3 linked regions of the Xenopus tropicalis genome follow. The protein of the gene in region 1 purifies or fractionates together with the protein of each later gene. This does not show direct contact. Links are inferred from orthologs where the notes say so. Each region holds a gene or a part of one and is shown on either strand. Other genes may lie near its edges.

Region 1 (4,301 bases):
CAGCTGAGATGTTCTGCCCCAGGGCATTACTTTCAGTTTGGTTCAGTCCTGCGCTAACTCTTTGCTAAGGAAGATTGCTTATTCCTTGACTAAGAGAAACAGGGAGATATGTGCCAGCGTGAAAGTAAATCTTATTCATTAAAATTTACACCATCTAGTGATGCACCCGGTCCCTTCAGATGTAGCTTCTGCTCCGAGCACACCCTGGGGTGTTAGCTTCTGGGGAACCCTTTATGCTTCCCTACTTTGCCTTCTTTCCAGTAGTCCTGGATGGCCCCTCGGGCCCTGTGTAACTGCTAATAGCAGTCCTCCCTCCCTATTATTCTATTACTCGAGACCTGCAGCACTGCTACTTTACTAATGTGATAAAGGCAGTCGGATTGTAAGCTGTACAGGGCAGAAACCTGCAGCCAGGTCCGGACTGGGATTCATAATGGGCCCCGTCATTTAATGTACACAGAGGCCCAATAATAGTGAGTGTCTGGCATCTTACAGCAGCCCTTATGGCATTTGCCAGAACCCACAGCTTGTCAGTCCGGGCCTGGCTACAGCTTCATATGTCTCTCTGAATGTGGCATTTATTGTGACTATATTTATGTAATGCTGGTTCCTCCTGTCTGTACTGTTTTGTATGCAGTGCAGCAGATACTGACATTATATAGTAGCCAAATAAACAAATAGGAATATGTACAAGACACTTGGCTGGCTGAGTCTTGCAGCTAGGGGGCAGTAAAGCATTGGAGCAATAGCTCATCTTTCTGCACACCCAAATCTGCCGTTAAAGCAAGGATAGAACATAAGTTCATTTGAGCAGAGATGCATTTTAGACATGAAAAGCTGATCAATTTTCAAAAACAAATGCTGTGTGTGTCCCTGACCCACCAGAAATGTACCCTAATATATGCATTTTATTTATCACAGTAAGAATGGCCGCTGCAACGAGGAACCTGCCACATCGTCAGTACATGCCAGCAGCATGGAGTCTCCTACCACAGGCCAACTGCCCAAAAAGGTGGAGTCTCTGGAAAGCCTCTACTTCACACCTATTCCAACCCGGGCACAGTCCAAACTGGAAAGTAGCCTTGGTTCCATTGGGGACCTGTCCCTAGACTCCAGCAAGAAAACGCGGTCTGCAAGGAGACGCACCACCCAGATCATTAACATCACAATGACCAAGGTAAGGAGAAAGTGTCGGCGTGGGGGGAATCGGGGGCTTTGAGTCAGGGAGCAGAGCAGTTGCCAATGTGGGGCCCAGAAGTCACCATGGTGACAGTCAGCATGGGAGATAGTGGCACTTTGTAGCTTATGTCCAATGCCACATCCTGGGGGCCGAGCCATCTCCATTTGGTCTGGGAGCCCTAGGAACAGCCCTCACTGAGAACTGGATTAGTTTCAAACATACTGGCTGCCATATTGGAGATTCCATACCTCAAACCAATCATTGCTCAGGTCACTGCTTCTTGTGTTCCCCCAGATGGAGATATTGGTCAGTGCCGAGGGTTCTTACATTGATATTTCTCCTAATGTTATTGGGAAAGAATTCATGTCTTGAGTAGGGTGTCCATTAAATTTGCATTATGGTTTCATTTCAGAAGACAAAGGAGGAACCGGAAGCAGAGAGTGCCAACACGTCATTCTACAGCCTGCGCTCCGCTCCGTCCTATCAGAGTCTCCACCAGCAGAAGCCCCGGAGGCCTGGGCGTCCTCAGGCAGCGGTTTCTGCCCCAGCCCTGGCCAGCCTCCCATCCCAGGAATCCCTGGCCAAGACAGAACAGTTCTCTGATGACAGCTTTAATAACTCCGTATTGATGAATTTACCTGGTTACCGACCCCCCACGCGTAGATCTGCAAGGCTTTCACAAACTGGAGGTAGTTGCCTGTTCCCTTACGTGCCTGATGTGTAGTCTGTTCTCTATAGCCCCCTTACAGAACTCACTCCAACAGCTCTGTATGCTTCCCCCATACCTGCACCCTGTGTGTGATAACAACCCCGCAGCCTCAGCCCCATGTTGTTCCTTTCAGGCCGAAGCAGTTTCTACATGAGCACGTGCCAGGATGAGCCAGACCCACAGGAAGACTGGAACCGGATCGCTGAGTTGCAGGCCCGGAACAAGGCCTGCCCACCCCACCTCAAGACTTCCTACCCACTGGAGTCCAGGGTGCGTATCTGTTCTATTGCACAAGTACTGGGCATATCTTTAGCTGCACGGCTGCTGTCTTTGGGTAGGGGTAGAGCATCCCTAGGGTTAAGGCCCCCCCATACACGGGCCGATTCTAGCTGCCGATATGGGTCCCTTAGACCAATTCGGCAGCTAATCGGCCCGTGTATGGGCACTTCCGATGGGCCTGCCCGACTGATATCTGTCCTGAAATCGGCCAGATCTCGATCGGGCAGGCTAGAAAATCTTTACCTATGCCCGTCGTAAATCCTGTAGGTGGGGGTATCGGGAGAAGATCGGCAAGGAAGCAGATCTGCCAGTGTATGGGGACCTTTAATACCAATGGGAGTGCGAGACTTGATTGCTTGGATCAGCACTGTGTGTCGCAAGAGTTTTTAGGGCAATTTATCAAGTTAATTGTTAAACTAAAACACACAATCCATTTTCAGCCGTCACTCTTAAGCTCCACCATTACCGATGAAGAGGTCAAGTTGGGAGACCCTAAAGAGACGCTCAGGAGAGCCACCATGCTGCCCTCCCAGATACAAGAGTCCACAGGCAGTACCCGCAGAATGAGCTTGGCTGCCTCTGAACATATGAGGGGACCCAGCATCAGCACCAGGCAGCAGATGAAGCGCGTGTCCGAGGAGTCTCACCTTGGCCCAGACACCCCAGAAGTGAGCAGCTTTGCCATTCCATGTTTGTACTTGGGCTAAAGGGCTAGTGGCTCTGCTGCTCTATAGAACTAACTTTCCGTATTACTTACAGGCCAAGAAGTCTGCCACTTGCTTTCCTCGGCCCATGACCCCAAAGGATAAACACGACGCACGCAGATTGTCCACTGTGGAAAGCAAAGGAAACTCCAGCCATCAGGTGAGCTGCTAATTCTCATGCATTTACCAACCATTATACACCATCTTGTGTGCGCTGAGTCCCAGGGGACAGGCCATTGCTCTCACGTTCCCAGGGATGGAGGGCAGCGCCACTGTCCCTATAAACCAATGAAATCAGGGCAGCGCCACTGTCCCTATAAACCAATGAAATCAGGGCAGCGCCACTGTCCCTATAAACCAATGAAATCAGGGCAGCGCCACTGTCCCTATAAACCAATGAAATCAGGGCAGCAACGGATGAAGTTAGGGGTTTGTCACTGTTTGTACCAATAATACTGCAGTGCCATAAAGCGGTATGTTCATATGAATTTCACACAGTCTTTTGCTCCCGTTTCAGCAGGCGCAGCCCACTCGCCGTCAGTCTACAGCATTTAGCATTTTCAACACCCCCAGAAAGCTGGGCAACAGCCTCCTGAAGAGAGGCCTCAACAAGAAAACGACTCCCAAAAATAGCCCCCGGGGGCGGGGGGCAAGTGGCAGCGCCGGCAGCACTTCAGGCAAATCCCCGCACCGCTCTCTCCGGAAGTCACCCAGCAGGCGGTCTCCGAGGGCCTCCACTGCAAAGTCCCCCAAAGCTTCAACCAAGGTCGGTATCGGGATGGGGGGTAGATCTGCTGTCATGTGCTCCTCAGCCTGGGCGGAGCTACACTGAGTCGATACTGGCACGGAAATGTAAAAATATGTATTTTTGCCCAATATCCTCTCCGTGTAGCCCCACACAGGCCATAATGCTGTGCCTGTCGATGGAGCCGTCGGTATACAGATATATAATCCTACTGAATGAGATCATGTCAGCCAGGTGTATAGTTACCCTTTAATATCTGGGGAAGCAGTCAGTGCGGTGTATCGGCAGTTGTCTGATCTTTGCCCCTGAATGTGATGACACAGGGCAGTATTGTGGGGCACAATTTGCTTTCAGGTACCAATAATGTTCTCTGATCCCTCTCAGGTGGGGCAGGAGCTGCAGATACAGGTAGGTGTTGCCTGTGGGTGTGGCCGGGGAGGGGTAGCTGCACAGGTGCATTGCTGTCTGTCCTGCAGTCTCGTACATCTGTAGGGTGGATTTGTTCCCTGTCCTGATATTTCTGCCCTTCCTGTTCTCCTCTTTGCTTCTTGGGGTGTCCTTTTTAGTGGGTTCTCCTGCACTGGTTTCGGGTCCCATCAGCACCTGGGAAGGGGCAGCCATTACGGCCGGGATCTTTGCTGCTCAAATACTGACCCCCATTGTGCCAGCGGAAGCTTCACGTAC
Region 2 (4,301 bases), on another chromosome or scaffold:
TCCCATTCACAGTCAGACAAGTTTTACAGTGCGGAAGCACAGAGGGTAACCATTAATGTTTGCATAACTTCCTTTTTATTGTCTACTCAGCAGAGTAGTAACGTAATCATTTTTGTTGGGTGTGGAGAAGTGTCATCATTTGTTCCATGAGTTCTGCAGTAGTTCAGAAATTTCTACTAGCAAAAGTTGACACTGTTCTTTAACAGAATATAGTGTTAATAAAAACATTGTTTATTCTCCCACCCCTTTCTCATTTATTATAAATATGTATAATATTATGATATGATTTCAAACCATTATTTGCTTAATCATATTTGATATAAATTGAAAAAAGTTCCAGACTCGATTGGAACCCTAAAGATTTAGATTTTGAGTCTGAATCCTGTAAAAAGTGCTTGCATTTGGACAAGTCCATGAATTCTGGTTGTCCTTACATTTATCCAGTTCCATACATTCTTCATTTTCCTGTGGTTTTTTTTTTTTTTGCTTTCCCATTATGGCAGCTATTGTTGGTTTCACTTGTTTTTTCTTTCTGCTTCCTTAGTGCAGTTCTTTAAAATAATTTCATGTCTTTAGTTTTCCTACTATCTTTGGCACCTGTCTTGTGTTTTTCACTTTGGTAGTTATCTGGTATGGTCTTAAAGGAACAGTAACACCAAAAAATTAAAGAGCTTTAAAGTAATAAAAATATAATGCACTGTTGCCCTGCACTGGTAAAACTGGTGTGTTTGCTACTGTAACACTACTATAATTTATATAATAAGCTGCTGTTTAGCCACGGGGGCAGCCATTCAAGCTGGAAAAAAGGAGAAAAGGCACAGGTTACATAGCAGATAACAGATAAGTTCTGTAGAATACAATAGTGTTTTATCTGTTATCTGCTATGTGCCTGTGCCTTTTCTCCTTTGAATGGCTGCCTCCATGGCTACATAGCAGCTTATTTATATAAACTATAGTAGACTTTCTGAAGTAAACACACAACTTTTACCAGTGCAGGGCAGCAGCACATTATATTTTAGTTACTTTTATACACTTTCATTTTTTGGTGTTGCTGTTCCTTTAAATTTTATGAAACCCTTGTGCCTTTCATTTTTGCTATCACATGCCTTTTTCTTTTGGTATCATTGTGGATGCACCAAACCCTAAATTTTGGCCAAATCATTGGGTATGTAATGGGCCGAATACCAAACTGAATCCAAACCCCAGAAGTGGAAATCGCTGAAACTGCAGGTGTTATTGCAGGTGCACTCACAAAATATTTTTTCAAAACATAAGGTTAGGATTTGTTTTATCCAGGCTCTTGTATTCGCTTAAATTCTGCTAAAAATGGCTTAGATTAGGCCGAATTCCAAACCAGATATGGGATTTTGTGCATCCCCAGTTTAGAATGTGTTTTTTTTTAGAAAAGATAGTACAGGTATCGGACCCATTATCCAGAAAGTTCTGAATTACGGAAAAGCCATCTCCCATAAACTCCATTTTAATGAATAATTCACATTTTTAAAAATGGTTTCCTTTTTCTCTGTAATAATAAAACAGTACCTTGTACTTGATCCCAGCTAAGATATAATTAATCCTTATTGGAACCAAAACAATCCTATTGGGTTTATTGCTGTTTAAATTTTTTTTTTAATTAGACTTAAGGTAGGAGATCTGAATTACAGAAAGACCCCTTATCCGAAATACCCCAGGTCCTGAGCATTCTGGATAATGGGTCCCATACCTGTGATAGTATTACTTGCGTGTACCAGAATGGTGGGAAGTTACACATGATTTGACTGTTAACTAATGGTTTTACTCAATATATCGGGGCATTATCTTTTCACCTCACTCATAAAGTGTTTAGTGTAGTTTCACTTGCTTCATCAATTTAGTATGTTATGCCATGGGATCTTTAATCAGTCAATTTCTGCTACTACTGAAACAGTAGATTCTCAGAGCCTTCCCATATGGAATCCATTAACAGTGTATTGTTTAACGGGTCTATAGGGAAAAGTTCTCTATAAATATCCATGACACATTTTATCAGGAGAAAGAGAAAATGCAGATTTAATTAAGAAAGGCTAAAATAAACCAGGCTGCTGTAATGTTCACATATGTATATGAAAACATTTCTTACAGGAAATTCATGGCTCTATAGACTGTGTTTATTTTTAGCCTCTAGATCAGCAGATACAAACTTTAAGGGTACTAACACGTAAGGGTAAATCTACAATACCATGGATGACAGAAGCTCATGAACTATGTCTTTCTCATACCAAGCCTTCAGATTGCAGCAATTAAAACACATTTCTTGCAGAAATCTGACTTATCCCATGAAAAAAGAGAAGTTGGATCACTTTGAGTAATGTGGTTTGTGTACAGCAATGCAAAGGTTAGGCAAGGAGGTTTGTCACCTGTAGTAATGCAGATTTACCTCAAGCTGCCAATTTCCTTGTGTGCCAGTATCTCTAGGTACAAGTCCCTTGGTCTGCAATGTATTTACCTGTGTTAAGCAGAATAAAGAATATTACCTTCTATTCAGGTGGAAGATGAAACTGTTCTGCATAATATTCCATATATGGGTGATGAGGTTTTGGACCAAGATGGGACATTTATTGAAGAACTCATTAAAAACTATGATGGAAAAGTTCATGGAGATAGGGGTAAGTTCTTTTATTCTTAAGCAGGGAAATATACCATAATGCAAAACCTGAACTGCCCCAGCACTCCTTTGCATTGTGCATTCTAGCTTCTGAAGAAGTGTAGGTTTAAAGCCTGTGTTCTAAAGAATGTTTCCACATGTCCAGATGAGACTTTCGGCAGGGTTATGCAGAATTGACAGCTGTATTTGTAGGCAATTACACTGCATTTCCACAGTCACTATTTGTATCCTAGTGAAACACAACAATAAAGTTGTTTATAGACTGGGCTGGGGATAAGGATATTATTCTGAGATTAGATGGATGGCTTATTCTGACTGAGTCTCTTCAATGGAAATCACATAAAGGTAATCATGATATATTTATCCATGTTGTGCATCCACATCATGAAGTGGGTAGGTTATATAATTTTATAATTTCCTTGCCATTCTCCCAGAAGCTGTCCCGTTAACTAAGCAACCTAATGTTTTGCTCTAGCCTTTTGAAAACACAAGCTGTGCATAAAAGGCAATTTGTCCTAATGATTTAAACTTTAAGTTTTCCCTGAAAATGAAAATTTAGTGCTAGGTGTTCCTATGGGAGCGTAGGGAAATTGTACCATAGGAAGAGTTGTACCTACTATCAGACAATATCTGAACATCTCATACATAGACAATCAAGATATCCATTCCAGGATAATAAACAAAAAAAGGATAAAGGATGGATGTGGTTCCCTGCCTGGATAGGATGAGAAAATAGTCAATAGATTAAAAAAAGTATGCTAGTATAAGGGATGGTATAATAAATGAAACTATAAGTTCCATCAAAATAATAAATGAGGAATTGGTCTAAGCCAGGAAGATGCCATTATGGAATAGAACGGTCCTAGATTACCTACTAGTAGATGAGGGTGGAGTTTGTGCAATCACAGGTAAGGAGAGTTGTACCTGGATTGGGGACTTGCATGACCCAATTGAGCCCTACAGAACAGTTTCTCATTTATGGGAATCATAAGGACTTGGTTATCAAATGTTTAAAAGTTTTTATGGTACTGAATGTGTGGGATTGCAATGGGCCTTGTGTTATATATTATAGCAAGGTTGTGTTGTTGCAAATACAGTATTTCAGAGGTTACATGGAGGGGCAGCTGAAGGGAGGGTGCTCACCCATTTAGCTCCTGGATCAAATATACAACAGCCCTCTTCTGATCAGCAACCTTTTGTGTTTGGCCGACCTTATCCATAGCAGGATCCCATTCCTGTATGAACAGGGTAATGAAGAACTTGCTGATTTAGATGGGAACCATGATAGGCAACTCTGTACTGCCACTGAACCTTTTATAGGTGAGCGGAATAGAGTTCTGGGTAAGAAGAATATATATGTTCAAGATTTGAACAAAAGGGAGGAATGTTAGAGAAAAAAAGAAACCATCTTGTTTCTTTTCTCCATCTTGTTCATATCATTTAATATTAGAGGGGTTGTGAAATACATTGTGTAAGGATGTTTCTTTTTGCTGTTGTAAAAACATTTATGATGAGTCCGCAAACTTGTGAAAAGAGGCATATTGGGTGTGTTGGTCAACTGGGCCTCTTTGCCTGTTCTGTTCTTAGAGATAACAAAGCTAACTACTGATAAGAGTGTTTCAGGACTATAAGACAAACATGCTTTGGGACATTCAGA
Region 3 (4,301 bases), on another chromosome or scaffold:
TTTGAGATTAATTAGAAATCGCCTCAGCTTTATTTCCTTCATCAGGATTAACTACAAGTTAAGTAGGAATTACTTAAGAAGGAGGTTGAACATGATGGCCACATCCTTTTTTTAACCTTCATTGCAGTGTAACTCTGTAATGTTTAACCCCACTACCATTTTCTATAATCCAGTTTTGTCCAGATCATGTTTCCAAGCAACCATTTTTTTTTTTTTTAAAATAGTTTTTGGGTTTTGTTTCTGTTTTTTTTTCTTTTTAATCATTCTTATCTCTTCCACTCTTTGGCTTTATTCTATTATGGATATACAGGTATGGGACCCATTATCCAGAATGCTCGGGACCTGGGGTTTTCCAGATAAGGGGTCTTTCTGTAATTTGGATCTCCTACCTAAAGTCTGCTAAAAACATTATTTAAACAGTAATTAAACCCAATAGGATTGTTTTCCCCCTAATAAGGATAAATTATATCTTAGTTGGGATTGAGTACAAGGTACTGTTTTATTACTACAGAGAAAAAGGAAATTTTTAAAAATGTGGATTATTTGATTAAAATGGAGTCTATGGGAAATGGCCTTTCCGTAATTCGGAACTTTCTGGATAATGGGTTTCCGGATAAGGGGTCCGATACCTGTACCAGTATGGTGTAAATAGGTGCTGTCCAACTTGTTTTATATTATGTAGTGGGCAAATTATTTTAGAGAAGTCTATGAAGCCTTCAAGCAGACTGGGGGCCATAAGAATTCTTTGGAGGGCCACCAGCTGGACAGCCTTGTTGTAAATAACAGAGACCCTAAGAAAGAGAGAATAAGTGACTTATTCTCTGTTTTACAGATAGCTGAAATGAATTAATGTAAAGAAGCAGAAAGTAGAGCAATTCTACTTACTAACACACATATAATTTACTCAGTGAACACTGTATTTTGACAGCACATATAAAACCTATTACAGTTATACTATTAATTTAACGTAATCACTGTCCTCATAAAATGAAGCCTATAATTTATCATAACTGCATTAAAAATGACCGCTATGTCTGGGTATTTGTTTAGTATGCCTCACACAGGATCTATGATTATTCTAATTCCATTATACGTTATTAGTATTAGTACTATTCAGCAAAGTCCTATAAAGCTCAAGCTACATAAGAGATAACACCAGACATGGAGGAAAGATCACAAATGTTAGAGTTTTTAAAATAATTTTGTCTAAAATTGTAATGGCACAGTAAATAGCACAGTTCTGGGCATTTTGTCACATCAGTCTTTGTTACTGAGTGACAATCACCAGACGTACGAGTGCCCCTGTGAGTACAGCAGATTGCCATTGAAATGAATGGGGAGAAATTTAAAGAGTTTTGTTGCCCGTGCAGTGATAAACTGCCCGAAATCGTGCCACTGCCCTTAGGTATAGCATCACACATTCATAAAATCACAAATTTAACAGTTTCCAGCTCTAGGAATAGATTACTGGCCATGTAAACATTGAGCATTAATAAAACAGTTGATGAAACTGACGGGGCCCTCCTGTAATGCAAAACACATCATGAAGAACACATTGAGAAAAACAACTCATAAGCTTATACAATCGGCAGCCACCTGAGCCCAGGATTGTGAAGTAGATGTAACCTCTCCTAGGAACTCAGATGGCTTTCTTGTAGATTCTAATAAACTGTAGATATCAGAACCCTCCAAGGTTTTTTCACCAGATGATTGTTTGGTCTAAACAGACAAAGAAATGAAATGTCAAACAGGGACAACAAAGAAAGACATATGAAAACACAGAAGAGAAAGTCAGAGAGAGGGATTGTGGGTAGCCAGTAGAGAATATTAAAGATCGGGATAGTCTCGGAAAGGATTTATGAGAGTGTGCATTACGGGGAGACAGGGTGGCGGAGGAGTAAAAACAAAACAAGAAGAATGGCATACAGCGGCACAAGACACACTTTCACATTAGTTAGAGTACAACACAAGACAAAAATAGATAAGGGAAAGAAGCCATCAAAGTCATGGACACAGCAGAAAAAGGAAAATAAAACTAGTGCACATCTGGTAGGCCTGTAAGAAAAGCTGTAAAGCAGAGGGCCCTATTCAACAACCTAAAATAAAATAAGAAATTAGTTTGACATACAACAAAATCTGTAGAGAAATAATGGCACCAAACAACATACAGTGTGGTCCTCATTGACTGAAAGGGAAGATTCTTTGGAAGCAAGACTTTAACATTATAAAGATGCCTGCTGGTTTCATTGTAAAGTTGATTAGATTGTCCAGGTTTGAGAAACTGACATTTTGTTTGGGTAATCAGTAACACCAAATAATATGTTATAAAAAATGGCACAGTCAGGTACAGGATTGTTTTGTGCAAAACTGTCACCATTACCCAAATGGATCAAAATTTACCTCCAAAATGACCTTATAACTTGTCACATCTGTACCATACTGGAACGTTATTCCTATAGGACACAGGTCAAACAGACAAATTCTTGGCTGTGGAAGATCAATGAGGACAGAACTGTATACTTTGCCTTACAAGTTTGAGTATGTCAGATATAATGTAAAGTAAAATTTTCAAATTAACCACAAAAATTCCAGTTTGCCTAATGTGGGGGTCCTCTTAGTGTTTCAAAACATGCCTTTTTGGAGGATTGTGTACATTAAGATTGTTAAAGGTCTCAAAACCAACAGCTGCTGACTGGCTCTAATCGTAATAGAGAGGTGCTTCTAAGAACTTGTTGAATAGGGCCCGAGGTTGTTAGATCTGGGAAACTGCTAGCCGTTACCAAGTAAATATATGCATTTGAGTGACTTTTGTTGTGTTAAGGGATTCAAGCCTCACATTGCCCGCTGTGGTTGCAATGCTAATAAAAATGAAAAATCATAAATATAAGTTGGCTGTCAAAGGAATGCCAAGCAGCAAGTGAACAAAAGGGTATTGTGAAGCTGGGATATGTCTGGTATTCATGCGTTTACTCTTCAAAATGGGGCATATAGTCATCGGTGCATGTTACCACCACTTTGGATGCAGATGACTCGGTAACATAATGAGCAGTGGCAATGGTAAATGGCTGATCTCGTGTGTATCGCCACTCGGACAGCTTCTTATCTTTCCAAGACGGGACATCTGCTTTAATAACATCATAATCTTGAAACTGCTCAGCCTTCCCAAAAATCACACTTTCAATCAAATTCTTCTCCGTATCTTTATCTTGCACTTTCTTCAGAGTCTCTTCTACTGGACTAGCCAGCTGGGAGTCTGACTCTTTGATGGGTGTCAGTGTTTCTGACATTCTTCTCTTTACAGGTGGCCCTTCTGGAACTTTTCTTCCCTTGTCATCACTAATCGGCTCCAGGATCTCATAGTCCCCTGTACCAGGAGCAATTTTTATAGTTTCAGCTATATCCTTCTCCAGCTTTTGAATTATTTCAAATGAAGATGGTGTTTTTTCTTTATCCCCTTCTTTTGCTTTACTTGTCATAGTTACTACTTTTCCAGACACGGTATCATAAGACCTTCCTAATGTATACATTTTCAGTTTGCTATCCTCTTCTTTGGACTTCAGTTCCATTTTCAGCGCATCCAAGCTCTGACCTCCCAGTGGGCTGGTTTTAAACGTTCCAGCTGGCATGTCACTGCTCACTGTTGTCACTTTGTAAGTCACAATGGTTTTTGTTTCACCATCAACTACCTTAGTAGGCACTTTGTCTATAATAACCCAATCCTCTGTGCCCTACATGTGAGATATAAAAGCTAAATTAGAATACCTGCAAATGTAAGTTGCGCATTACTAAAAGAACATCCCTCATTTAAATGTTACTATACATAAGGGATGCCAAAATGAAGACCACCCAGCTATTGTGATCTATACCTCCCAGTACCCACAGCAACACTGCAATGAGTCCACCATGCCTGCTTAACTTTCCATAAGAAGATATAAACAAATTAGGTCAGGACTTAACCAAAATGTATATTATCCATGCAAGTCTAGATTAAGAATGAGTACATTGTAAATATATAACTTTAAGCAGTTATTTTTATTTTATTTATTTACAATGTACTCATTCTAAGTAAATGAAATATCTGTTTTATATTTATTCATGGTGGGGGATTTTATCTAGATTAAATGAATAAAGAGTAACCTCTGGGGATGTCGGGATAGTTTTCTGCATAATGATTTGCTGAGAAGTAGCCACAGGGCTGGTGGCTCTTGCCTCCCGCAGTTTCTTCACTATGTCCCCTGGCTAATGAAAGAAACCATAAAAAAAGAGAATGCATTCAGAGATGCATTGGTGAGTGAGCTGGG

Evidence for each region.
Region 2: the proteins of numa1 (region 1) and ezh2 purify together in Homo sapiens (affinity purification with mass spectrometry; 3 studies listed by BioGRID and IntAct, with this or other methods). This does not show direct contact. The link is inferred for Xenopus tropicalis from reciprocal best matches to the Homo sapiens genes NUMA1 and EZH2.
Region 3: the proteins of numa1 (region 1) and epb41l3 purify together in Homo sapiens (affinity purification with mass spectrometry; 3 studies listed by BioGRID and IntAct, with this or other methods). This does not show direct contact. The link is inferred for Xenopus tropicalis from reciprocal best matches to the Homo sapiens genes NUMA1 and EPB41L3.

The regions. Positions count from the first base shown.
Region 1 is NC_030678.2:178,876,014-178,880,314, forward strand, and holds part of numa1 (nuclear mitotic apparatus protein 1), read left to right. Parts: intron 1-921; coding exon 922-1,177; intron 1,178-1,592; coding exon 1,593-1,869; intron 1,870-2,022; coding exon 2,023-2,159; intron 2,160-2,608; coding exon 2,609-2,836; intron 2,837-2,927; coding exon 2,928-3,032; intron 3,033-3,389; coding exon 3,390-3,638; intron 3,639-4,001; coding exon 4,002-4,025; intron 4,026-4,301. UniProt on the Homo sapiens protein: Microtubule (MT)-binding protein that plays a role in the formation and maintenance of the spindle poles and the alignement and the segregation of chromosomes during mitotic cell division.
Region 2 is NC_030682.2:55,145,159-55,149,459, forward strand, and holds part of ezh2 (histone-lysine N-methyltransferase EZH2), read left to right. Parts: intron 1-2,524; coding exon 2,525-2,645; intron 2,646-4,301. UniProt on the Homo sapiens protein: Polycomb group (PcG) protein. Catalytic subunit of the PRC2/EED-EZH2 complex, which methylates 'Lys-9' (H3K9me) and 'Lys-27' (H3K27me) of histone H3, leading to transcriptional repression of the affected target gene.
Region 3 is NC_030682.2:106,405,552-106,409,852, reverse strand, and holds part of epb41l3 (band 4.1-like protein 3), read right to left. Parts: intron 4,240-4,301; coding exon 4,138-4,239; intron 3,729-4,137; coding exon 3,009-3,728; intron 1,720-3,008; coding exon 1,597-1,719; intron 1-1,596. UniProt on the Homo sapiens protein: Tumor suppressor that inhibits cell proliferation and promotes apoptosis. Modulates the activity of protein arginine N-methyltransferases, including PRMT3 and PRMT5.